Sus scrofa: one gene and its partners. The protein of the gene in region 1 purifies or fractionates together with the protein of each later gene. This does not show direct contact. Links are inferred from orthologs where the notes say so. Each region holds a gene or a part of one and is shown in the gene's direction. Other genes may lie near its edges.

Region 1 (3,745 bases):
ATCCGGCGTTGCCGTGAGCTGTGGTATAGGTCGCAGATGCCGCTCGGATCCTGCGTTGCTGTGGCTCTGGTGTAGGCTGGCGGTTACAGCTCCAATTAGATCCCTAGCCTGGGAACCTCCACATGCGGTGGGAGCGGCCCAAAAAATGGCAAAAAAAAAAAAAAAAAGACCAAAAAATAAAATAAAATAAAATGAAACATTCGAAACAATAAAAAAAAAGTCCGAAGGGAAATATGACTATTAAAAATATTGTAAATAGATGTCTTTCTTGGCCAAATAACTGTGGCAGTCATCAATAAATGAATTATTGTAGTTCCCCTCGTAGCTCAGAGGAAACTAATCTGAGTAGTATCCATCCATGAGGATGCAGGTTCTATCCCTGGCCTTGCTCAGTGGGCTAAGGATCTGGCGTTGCCTTAAGCTGTGGTGTAAGTTGCAGACAAGGCTTGGATCCCGGGTTGCTATGGCTGTGGTGTAGGCCAGCAGCTACAGCTTCAATTTGACCCCTAGCCTAGGAACCTCCATAGGCCAGGGGTGCAGCCCTAAAAAGAAAAAAATAAAGAACTATTATTTAAGATAAGCTATTTTCCTCTAACACTAGGCACCATCTGAGAAAAGACCGAGAAGGCTCCTATTCTGAAGTGTGCACACTGGCAAGGAAGACGGATGACAAACAGGTGCTGTGAGGATAGGATGATCAGGAAGGCAGTGACATTTGAAGGCAGAGGGCCAACGGAAGGACTGGTGAAGAGGAGGCAGCCAGGGGAAATTGTGAATCTGAGGCCTTGTTGTGGGGAGGAAGTCTCTAAACCAATTGATGACGGATGTCGCTGGAACGAGAGACAGTAGGGTGGAAGCAGTGAAGCGAGCACTCAGCTCTCAAGCCATACGGGCCGGGGGAGTCAGAGGGCCATCCACTTGCATTGTGGTCACAAGTCATGCCCCTTTTCGAGTAGCCGCTGTCTTCTTTGCAAAATCAGGATGATGATACTTTGCAAAAGTGCAAAGATCAAAAGAAATGTTAGTTGTGGTGCTTTGCAAACGACCATTTATAGCATTATTACAAATATATGACAGCCACTGGAGAAACAGTTACAAGCGCAACACACGAAAGAGCAAGCAGGACCGCCTGGCGCGTGCGCGCTAGGCTGCCTGAACCTGGGGAGCGGATGAATTCAAGCCCCGCCCGGAACAGCTCGGCCTCTTTTCGCCTCGGATCCCTCCCACTTCCGCGGGCTCCCAACGCTGCGTCGTCTGCGTGCTGACGTCAGGCGCGTGCCCCTGTCCGCAGCTGAGGAGACCCCGCGCATTGCTGCCAACGCCCCGGCTGAGGAGCTGAGGTGAGTGCGGGGTCCTAGGCTCCCCGCGGGAGCGGGTTCCCCACCGTCCCGTTTCCGCTGCGCCGCGCCCGGCCTTTCCCAGTCCACGGGGACGCCCCGCGTCTGGGTTCCTGGGAAGCTTGGGAGCGCGGGGCGTGGAGTGTGTGTGTGTGTGGGGGGGGGGGGGGTGCCCGGCTCGCGCAGCGCCGTTCGGGCGAACGCGGGTCCGGGTTCTGTCCGAGGACGGAGGCGAGGAAGTCGCGGCGGGCAAGGCGGGGGGCGCACGTCGGCCGAGAGGTGTGCGGCCCTGCTGTGGGGTGCCGGGCCGAGGGCGCGGCCGTGCTGTCACCCGGCAGCGGCGGAAGGAAGGGGTCACACCCATCCCGGCCGCCCGGCTCCCCTCCCCCCGGCCCTGCGGACCCCTGAGGCGGACGGCGGGCCCGGGCGCCGGGAGCTGCGGAGACGCTCGCGGGCGCCCGGGCTGCCCGGGGTGGCGGTGGCCCGGGCTCCCAGGCCGGGTCTGCCCCCGCGCCCCGGCCTCGACTTCCTGCTTCGCCCGGCGCGGCCGCAGACATTTTGCGGCGGGCGGGGGGGAGGGGAGCGGATTGCGAGCGCGGCCGGGAAGTGGCGGCCGGGAGCGGGCGGCTAGCTGACCGCCCCGGGTTTGCCTGCGACGCGCCTCCCTCCGCGGTCCCGCAGCTGGACGCCTGGTCCCACTGGGTGGGCCTGGTCGCCGCTTCTCCGGTCTCCTTTATTCCTGCCTTAGGTCGAGTTCCTGATGCCGTTTCCGTTTGCTTCTCCAACTCTCTCCCTGCGTTTTCAGCTGAAGCTTCCCTTTCAGGGAGTTACCTAACCACCTCCCGAAACTGTCGTTCAGCCTTTTGCCCAGTTCCTCTCATTAGGGGGAAAATTTCTTTGTTCGTTTGTGTTTTTCCTCCCCTTTAATCCCAGAGAAATGCAGTGTGGAAGATTACGTCATCGCAATATAAGGGGTGAGAGTTTTTAACTCCTACAAGTCAGGGACTCACTAAATTAAGACAGCATTTTGTAGCCTTGGTTGGGTCACCCATTGGCCTAGCCAACCTGTTTCCCAACGCATCAGAGATGATCTTTTGAAATCCTGGCCGTCTCATATGCATCTGAAAGCCAGGAGGGTTTAAAATCTCCGGATCAACTTGTGCCAGAGAATAAAACGTAAGACAACACCTTCTGCAGCCGCTTGCGTAGGCAGTAACTTTAAAGATCCCTTTGACTGTACCCGAATGAGATGAATTTATTTGTGGAAGCATTTCTTTGGTCTAAGATGCAATTCACAGACTGTTTAACTTCTCCCATATGAATTACCGATTCGGAATATGTACCTAAGTCAACTCATGTGCACTTTTTGTGGTAAGGGTGTGTGAAAAGAGAATCAGTTCTATTTACGCTTAATCTTTGCTTGGTAGTCAGTTTAATTTTGTAATTAAAAATGTTTTGGATTTTTAACCAAATAAACTTAAGTGAGTAATATTTTCAGACTTGGGATCACAGAATGTTAGGTACATCCTAAATTGTATATCCTTCATTGACTGCAGGGTAGTGTAATACAGAAAAATGTTAGCATTGTAAAGCAAATGAGATCCAGTTGTGTAATGCATTGTTGTAAAGATAGTTCATGTTGGAACAAGCGCTTTCCTATTGTTTCTCGTTTGTATAGAGAGAACAGATTGCTTGTTAAGAAACACTTAAAAGTGGTAGGTTTACATCAGCTTTCTGTAGTGTGTAGGTGTTGGTAGATGATTGGATAGGTGTGGAGCTTGGATCTTCTAAAATATATTTATTTGCCATAATGTATCTTTTTAAGAAGATAAAAATGGAACACTTACCTGCTGCCATATTTCTTGAGTCTTAATTTTTTTAGATTGAGGCAAGGTGATAAGAGACTGGTAATTAACTGTGTATTAAAAATGAGCTCTTCCTCAGTAATTTCTTCCAAGACCCAAAAGATAGCACGTTCTTAAAATGTTTTCACATAATAACAACATCTGTACTCAGTTAAATTTAAATTTTTGGGAATCTGAGGCAGGTGTTACAGCCTAGCTTAAATATCAGCGAGATTCTTAAAGCCCACCAAGCCCACATCTTGACTTTTTTGTGACTTCAAGTTTTTTTTTTTTTTTTTTTTTTTTTAAATTCGGGTACTTTTTCCACTTACGGTTTATTAGAGAAGCATTTCTGGTTGTTTTTAAAATAGTTATACTAATAAAATATTTTGATCTAAGAGGTTGCATTTGGAAAACTTTGAATTACAGTTTGCTGTGCCTGTCTGAAAGTAGTATTTACAGACATTCTTGGAAGTAGAAGTCAAACTATACTTTTATTTTTAAATACATTTTAAGTGCATTTATTGTTTTTGAGAGGACAAGGAATGCTTAATGAACATTTCA
Region 2 (3,745 bases), on another chromosome or scaffold:
TCAAGTCCTTCACTTCAAGCAAGAATCAAAGCAGCAAGGGCTTGTTACTAGTTATAGCTTCAAAGACCATCTATCCCTTTCTCTTATTTCACAGAGGAAGGGACCTCTGAGAGCAGACGTGACTTGCCTGAGGTCAAAAAACAGTCACGTAGCTGGGATTAGAGCCCAGGTTTTCTGATTCTGGGCTAACTAGCCTAAGGTCCCTTCCATTAACTATGACTGCAAGCTTTAATGAGGCTTGGGGTGTTCCAGAAGTGAAACCTGCGCCCCCCCCCCACACACACACATTGTGCTTCTGGGTGGTAGTTTCACATGTGGGAACAGGGTGAAAGGTTGATGGTCAGGAAAGGCCTGGAGATCAGAAGAGCCTCTCTGCCCCCGGACTCCTTTTCCCAGCTCCACTGATCTGCAGCCTCCAGGTTCGGCTTAATGAGAGGACAGCAGGCACCAAGAGAACAGGCACCCACTGCCCTACCTCACCAAGGGTGGCCTGCATCAGAAAAAAAAATGTCCTCATTTATCTAGGAGAAAGGGCTCTTTTAAGTAGAGAGGCCAGGGCCAGAAATAAAATTATAAGGAAGTAGTTGGGCTCACAGCATTTGCCGGGCAGCCTCTGCTAAGGGCCTGCTGTTGGCAGACATGGTGCACACACCACAGTCAGCGCCCATGCCCGAGGCAGGTTCTCCTAGCTGCCTGCTGCTCTTGCCCAAGGGCTGGGCCTTTGGGATGCTACCACAGCATAGCCAGAGCCAAATATGCAGCTCAGTCTGCTGTTCACTGAGCAGCCTCCCCTAAGGGGTGAGGATCATTTGCAGAGGGGGCAGGGACTGAATCTGCTTTCACTGAGGTTCTAATGGCCACAATGATCTAGTGATCATTTCTGAATCACTTTCCTTGTTTGATTCCCTGCTGGTATCTTACATATCTTTGCCACTCTTTCCACACTTGGCTTCCAAAACCCACTGTGCCTTTTTTGTTTGTTTGTTTTTAGGGCTGCACCCGCAGCATATGGAGGTTCCCAGGCTAGGGGTCCAAGCAGAGCTACAGCTGCCGGCCTACGTCACAGCCACAGCAATGCCAGATCCGAGCCACATCTGCAAGCTACACCACAGCTCACAGCAATGCCGGATCCTTAACCCACCCATTGAGCGAGGCCAGGGATCGAACCCGAGTCCTCATGGATACTAGTCAGGTTTGTTACCACTGAGCCACCAATAACTCTTTCCTTGATTTTTAACACCGCTAATGAGCCAATAGTTTCTAAATGTATATCTCTAGATTTAGCTTGCCAAGTGAAATTCCTATTTCCTCAAATCTACCCATCCTGTGTATCCACTGTTACTTGATAAGCCACTAATCCAGTCTCTATGCTAGAGACCTGAGAAATATCCATGAACCCCCTGTCCTCCAGCTCCCAGTCCTACTGATTCTACCTCTGAAACCTCTCTCCATTGTACCCTTTCCTCCGCAGTCACATGACCGGGGCCTTGGAAGTACAGCATATTATGATTAAGAACTCAAGCTTGGAACTGGATTATCTGAGAGTTTGAATTGTAGCTCTACCGATTTTTAGCTGTTTGACGTTTCTAAGCCCCAGTTTCCTCCTTGCTCTTGCCCATGCTGTTTCCACTGACTAAGATCCCTCCCTCCTTCAATCGGATGAATTCTTGTTAACTTTTCAACCCAGATCAGCTGTCACCTCCACTAGGAAGTCTTCCTGTCTTTCACTGCTCTTAATCACGGCAATAATTTCCCTCTGTGTATCACTGACCTCTAAATTATTTGACTATATGTTTATCGCTCATTACAGAACCACAAGCTTCTTTAAGGCATTGATTGTGCTTATTTATCTCTCCATTGGCAACACCCAGTTCAGTGCATAGCAATAAGTAGGTCCTCAGGTTACCTGCACCAAAGAATACTACAGGAAGCCGAGAGGGGTTAATGGGAATATTAGGAGGAAACGATAGAGGCAGGGGCAGGGGCTAATTGAAGTAAGACAGTTTAGCAGCGAAGAGAAACAGCAACCAAAGTACGGCAGGATGGGGAGAGACCCTCCCAGCCTCGGGCGGCACCCTTTCCCTCACCTGGCAGCACACCTCCGCAGCCTGGAACTACAAATCCCAGGAGCCCCGGCGGCGCAGACCGGAAGTGTCCTGTTCGCCTGTGGCTACGGTGAGGGGCGGTGGCCCGGCGGCGGGAGATTCAAACCTGGAAGAAGGAACATGGAGGGGAGAGGAGCGGGCCCGGGCCGGGCGGTCTGTGAGTGCCAGAAGGGGCCGAGAAGGGCCCAGCAGTGGTGCTGCTCCTCGGGGACTCGGTGGTCCTGGGAGAGGGTGGGGCGGGGGCGGGGCAGGGGGGCCGTCAGGCCAGGAAAGACCGGACTGTGCTGGGTGGGGTGGGAGCGCTCAGTGCGGACTCGTGCGGGCGGGGGTAAAGCTGTGAGCTGTTTACGAAATGCTCCCACTTCTGTGCCGCACTTCAGAGCTTACAAAGAGCTTTTCCCCTTATCCCCAGATTCTGGGGCTCCATAACTTGCCAAGTGCTACCGAGGAACGGGTCGCCCAACAAGACCTAGGGGCCTTCCTTGACTTTTTGATGCCTCTTTGAGACAATGCCTCTCAAAGCTTTATGGTGTCAGAATTACCTGTGGAGTTAATTTAAAACGCAGATTCCTGAATCTTATCCCAGAGCTTTAGCAACAGTTGGTCTCTACTGGGACCTATAATGTGCATTTATAGCAAGCCCCGCTGCGCTTTTCCGATCACCCCAGGTAACTGTGTGTCTGTGTACCACGCTTTCAAAAGCACTGCTTTAGAAAGAGAGATTGGGGTCGGAAAAATGGGACTGCAGAAAGGTTATCATCTGACCTGAAAGAAAAGCAAAATTGAGCTCTTCTTCTACCCCTTTCCCGTCCTCTCCGTTAGGGTACAAAAAGCAAAGGCCACGTCCACCTATCTGTTGAAGGAAAGCTGGTTCCAGACCTGAAAAGGGCAGGAAAACTGATTTTTTTTTTTTAAGACTCTGTGCGCGCGTGTGTGTGTGTGTGTGTGTGTGTGTGTGTGTGTAAAGTCCTGCCCATCTCTCACAGTGCTCAATTCATAACTCTGAGATGATGTCACTCACTTACTGGTTTATTTTCCATGCTTAGCAACCAACACTTGTTCCTTTACACCCCCTTAAAGGAACCAATGGATTTCCTGCGATTGGCCAGTGCTTTCAAATCTGAACGTGGAGGGTGTGTGTATGTGTGTGTCTTTTAATTTGCTTAACTGCCACTTCAAATAAGCCCTGCCCCTCTCCCAAATCATATTGCAGGATATGTAATACAAAAGAGATAATGAGTGGGAACGACATTTAGTGCTGAGTCAAAGACAGATTTACTAAGCTCTCTTTTTAAGCTCTCTGACTTTATTTTCTTGGTGTATATGTGTAGCTTTCTCTCATTTTTTCTGATTTTGTACTGTCTTCCCTAAGGAGACTAGAGAGATAGGGAAGAAGAGAAGGGAAAAGATAAAAGGAGGCTGTGGCCCCCCAAAAAAATGTTCCTGTCATGGCTCAGTGGTTAACAAACCCTACTAGCATCCATGAGGATTCGGGTTTGATCCCTGGCCTCACTCAGTGGGTTAAGGATCTGGTGTTGCCATGACCTGTGGTGTAGGTCACAGACATGGCTTGGATTCCTCGTTGCTGTGGCTGCGGTGTAGGCTGGCGGCTACAGCTCCGATTAGACCCCTAGCCTGGG
Region 3 (3,745 bases), on another chromosome or scaffold:
CCCTGCGAGGCAGCCCTATCTCCAGCATAACTGGAATGAGATTAAGTGAGATTCAAGGTCACCCAGGCCAGGGAAATTCTGGCCTCTCTTCCACACACTCCAGACTCCGCAGTGAATCCTCTTCCCACACCCCAGCGCCCCAGCCACAGCCCAGAATCCCTGCCAGGTTGCACCCCTTCGTGACATCTGCCCTCCCTTTCCCCGGCACGAGTTACAGGTGGCCGCAGCATCTCACCATATACAGCAAGAAAGGAAAGGTGAGCAGGAAGATCCAGACATAGAGATGGAAGCAGTTGGAGAAGGTGCTCTGGTGTGGGTCGAAGAACCAACCGCCGGTGAGCGAGGCCCACACCCCCTGGCGCAGGATCTGCAACACCTGCGACCCCATGGCCCCGCCGCTGCTGCGCGCGCCCCCCTCCCGGGACCCTCATGGGGGCGGCCCCCGGCCCATGCCCCGCCTGGCGCCCGAGGGCCCCGGGGCCCAACCTCGCGCTCACGCCATGGCCTCCCCCAGCGGGGGAGAGGGGTCGGTGGGGCGAGGGTGCGGGCAGGGGGCGGGGCCGGCCAGGGCAGTCAGTGGTGCGAGACCCAAGAGCCGGGGTGGAGCCGCATCAGGGGTGGGGTCCAGGCCCCCACCCCCGGCCCAGAACTGCTCCTAAGGGCCGGACCGGCGGGCAGGCGCAGGGCACGGGCCGGGCACCGGTCGGCGGCATCCAGAGGTGGGCGTGGGGTGGGTGCTCCGGGGGTGCAGACGACGGCTCCCACGGTTCCGGCCCGGGGAGAGCCCCGGGACCCTGAGGTCCACTTCCGGGGTCACAGGTCACTCGCTTTGGGCTCCGCGGTCGCCCCGCTTCTGCGGGAGCCGACCCAAGGGGGAGGCCGGAAGAAGGAGCCGCGAGCCGCCAACCTGCAGTGGCGCATGCGCCCGACGAGACCAGTTGGGACCCGGAAAAGGAAAACCTTTCGGCTCGAATGCGCAAGCGCAGGGAGGTGGTGGACCGATAAGAAGCGGGAGAGCCCGCTGGGCTTGCGCAGCTGAGGAAGGGACGATCCAAAAGGCACAAGTCCTTGAGCGCATGCGCACACCTAAGCGATGCCAACCTAGCCGCGATCACTGGGCGGAACGCGAGGGAAGAGTTACTAGAGGCGAGGAAAAGGATGGAGGCGTGGACACCCCTGGGGGCTAAAGCCACAGTTGTGCGCTACTGGAGCAAGCCCCTCTAGGTGCGCCCTTTTTAGCGCTGGACGTCAAACGTCACGAGCGGCCTCTACTTCCGGGTCAGAGCTCAAACTCAGAGTGTAGAGAGAACAGGCAGGACTAGTCGAAATAGGATAGTGTCGTTTTTCTTAAAGTGACAGGCTCAAGGCAAGGGGGTCCGTCGCGCGGTTGCGAGAGCGATTTAGCTATTCCAAGTGCCATCACTGGACAAATTTCAGGAGCACAGTCTCAGGTTTCCATCCCTTCTTGGGAAAGAGGCATGAATTGTTTCCCAGGTGAAGGGAAGCAGTAAATCTTAGACAACGCGTTCCAAGAGCTCCAAGTGCAGCCAGTTTCGTCCTCCATTCTTGCCTACCCCCACTGCCAGCTCTGCAAAGCGGAGCTCCTGGCCCCAGTTTCAGACATGAAGAGAATGAAGCGCAGAGAAAGGGTCACACGGCCCTGCAACTTCGGAGCCAAGACCACACTCGGGTTTGCCCCTCTTCCAAGCCAGGATCTTTCCCCCAGTTTTACAGATGCAGACGTAGAGGGCGGGGACGGTCCCTCCTTAGCAGAAACCAACCTCGACCTTAAACCTGTTGTCACGGGAGGTGGGGGCTACGGGCTACACTTCCTCTCCTTCTGCCTCTCATTGCCCGCCTACCCGGTAACTCCCAGACCAAATCGCCCTGCAGCCTCTGGGAGGGGAGCGGTGCTACCCGCCCGCGTCATCTGATGCTGTTTCCTGCAGGAGAGAGAACAGCGGAAAAAAGTGAAACTCCACCCTCCACCTCTGCCTCCCGCCCCCGGGGCCAAAGTACAAAGGGAGGAGGAAGAAGGGAACGGGGTTGGAGCCATCGGGTCGCGAGAGCTGAGCCAGGAAGAGGCAGCTCAACCTAGAGACACTCCAGCCACCCCCCTGCGCAGAGACCCAACGGGAGTCCAGGCACTGCCCCTCGCTGGCCCCACCTTTCACTTGGCGGGTGCTGGAGCTCGGCTCCCAGGACTGCTCTGGACTGAGGGACGCCCGGGCCCCTCTGTGCCGGCCATGGTGAGACATCGGAGGCCCTGGGGGTCCACCCCCCCAGCCTGACCACACTGCTTCCCTAGGTCGCCCTCCTCCGGAAGCCCGAGATGCGGTGGGCCGGGAGGCGACACTCCTGGCTCCCCAGAGAGGCGTGGGTCTGGGGCTGAGGGCCAGGGCTCGGATGCCCAGGTTCCGGGACTAGGGCCTCGGCCGTCAGCAAGGGTGGGGACCGGGGCACCCAGGGAAGGTCCCCCACACCCGCCAGTGCCAGCTCCCAGCTATGGAGCCCTTGAAGAACCTCTTCCTCAAGAGCCCCCTGGGGTCATGGAACAGCAGTGGCAATGGGGGCAGCGGGGGCAGTGGCAGCGGAGGTTGGCCAGAGGGGTCCCCGAAGGCTGCAGCTTATGCCAACCCTGTGTGGACAGCCCTGTTTGACTACGAGCCCAATGGGCAGGACGAGTTGGCCCTGCGGAAGGGCGACCGAGTGGAGGTGCTGTCCCGGGATGCAGCTATCTCGGGTGACGAGGGCTGGTGGGCGGGCCAGGTAGGTGGCCAGGTGGGCATCTTTCCGTCCAACTATGTGTCTCGGGGCGGTGGTCCCCCCCCCTGCGAGATGGCCAGCTTCCAGGAGCTGCGGCTGGAGGAGGTGATTGGCATCGGTGGCTTCGGCAAGGTCTACCGTGGCAGCTGGCGGGGTGAGCTTGTGGCCGTGAAGGCAGCTCGCCAGGACCCCGATGAGGACATCAGCGTGACAGCTGAGAGCGTGCGACAGGAGGCTCGGCTTTTCGCCATGCTGGCACACCCCAACATCATTGCCCTCAAGGCCGTGTGCCTGGAGGAGCCCAACCTGTGCCTGGTGATGGAGTATGCTGCCGGTGGGCCCCTGAGCCGTGCCCTGGCTGGGCGGCGCGTGCCCCCCCATGTGCTCGTCAACTGGGCTGTGCAGATTGCCCGTGGAATGCACTACCTGCACTGCGAGGCCCTGGTGCCTGTCATCCACCGAGACCTCAAGTCCAACAACAGTGAGTTCGGGGGAGCGTGGCCGGAGGGTGGCATGGCCCAAGCAGACAGCTGCTGCCGGCTCTTAGCTGAGCCGACCCAGGGGTTTCCTAGAAGTGGCAGCTCCTGCCCAGGATTGTCTCAGGTCCCTGGGGGGACCCGTAGGCTCACATCAGTGCCAAAGCAGGAACCCCAGGCACCCAACAGAGCCCCAGCAGGAGTCCCTAACCCCAGCTCACAGCTGCCAAGTTAAAAAATGGGAATCTCGGAGTTCTTGGCGGCTCAGTGGATCAGGGATCTGGCATTGCCAGGGCTATGTCTCTGGCGACAGCCGTGGCCCGGGTTCGATCCCTGGCCTGGGAACTTCCACACACCACGGTCTCTCGGGCGGACCATAAGCAACCTGCCTACCATACATGGCCACTAGCTCAGGGGAGGCGAGTCCTGGGCGCTGGCACCCCTCATCTTCAGGGAACTCTCTTGAGGTTCACATGCACCCACAGTAAAGGGGCAGCTTCTCC

Evidence for each region.
Region 2: the proteins of CDC42 (region 1) and IQGAP3 purify together in Homo sapiens (affinity purification with mass spectrometry; 4 studies listed by BioGRID and IntAct, with this or other methods). This does not show direct contact. The link is inferred for Sus scrofa from reciprocal best matches to the Homo sapiens genes CDC42 and IQGAP3.
Region 3: the proteins of CDC42 (region 1) and MAP3K11 purify together in Homo sapiens (affinity purification with western blotting; 3 studies listed by BioGRID and IntAct, with this or other methods). This does not show direct contact. The link is inferred for Sus scrofa from reciprocal best matches to the Homo sapiens genes CDC42 and MAP3K11.

What each region holds. Positions count from the first base shown.
Region 1 is NC_010448.4:80,033,811-80,037,555, forward strand, and holds the start of CDC42 (cell division control protein 42 homolog), read left to right. Parts: upstream 1-1,224; 5' UTR 1,225-1,340; intron 1,341-3,745. UniProt on the Homo sapiens protein: Plasma membrane-associated small GTPase which cycles between an active GTP-bound and an inactive GDP-bound state. In active state binds to a variety of effector proteins to regulate cellular responses. Involved in epithelial cell polarization processes.
Region 2 is NC_010446.5:93,511,037-93,514,781, forward strand, and holds the start of IQGAP3 (ras GTPase-activating-like protein IQGAP3), read left to right. Parts: upstream 1-1,196; 5' UTR 1,197-2,042; coding exon 2,043-2,262; intron 2,263-3,745.
Region 3 is NC_010444.4:6,639,027-6,642,771, forward strand, and holds the start of MAP3K11 (mitogen-activated protein kinase kinase kinase 11), read left to right. Parts: upstream 1-1,034; 5' UTR 1,035-1,224; intron 1,225-1,949; 5' UTR 1,950-2,505; coding exon 2,506-3,247; intron 3,248-3,745. Other genes in the region: PCNX3 (pecanex-like protein 3), read right to left, coding at 236-388. UniProt on the Homo sapiens protein: Activates the JUN N-terminal pathway. Required for serum-stimulated cell proliferation and for mitogen and cytokine activation of MAPK14 (p38), MAPK3 (ERK) and MAPK8 (JNK1) through phosphorylation and activation of MAP2K4/MKK4 and MAP2K7/MKK7.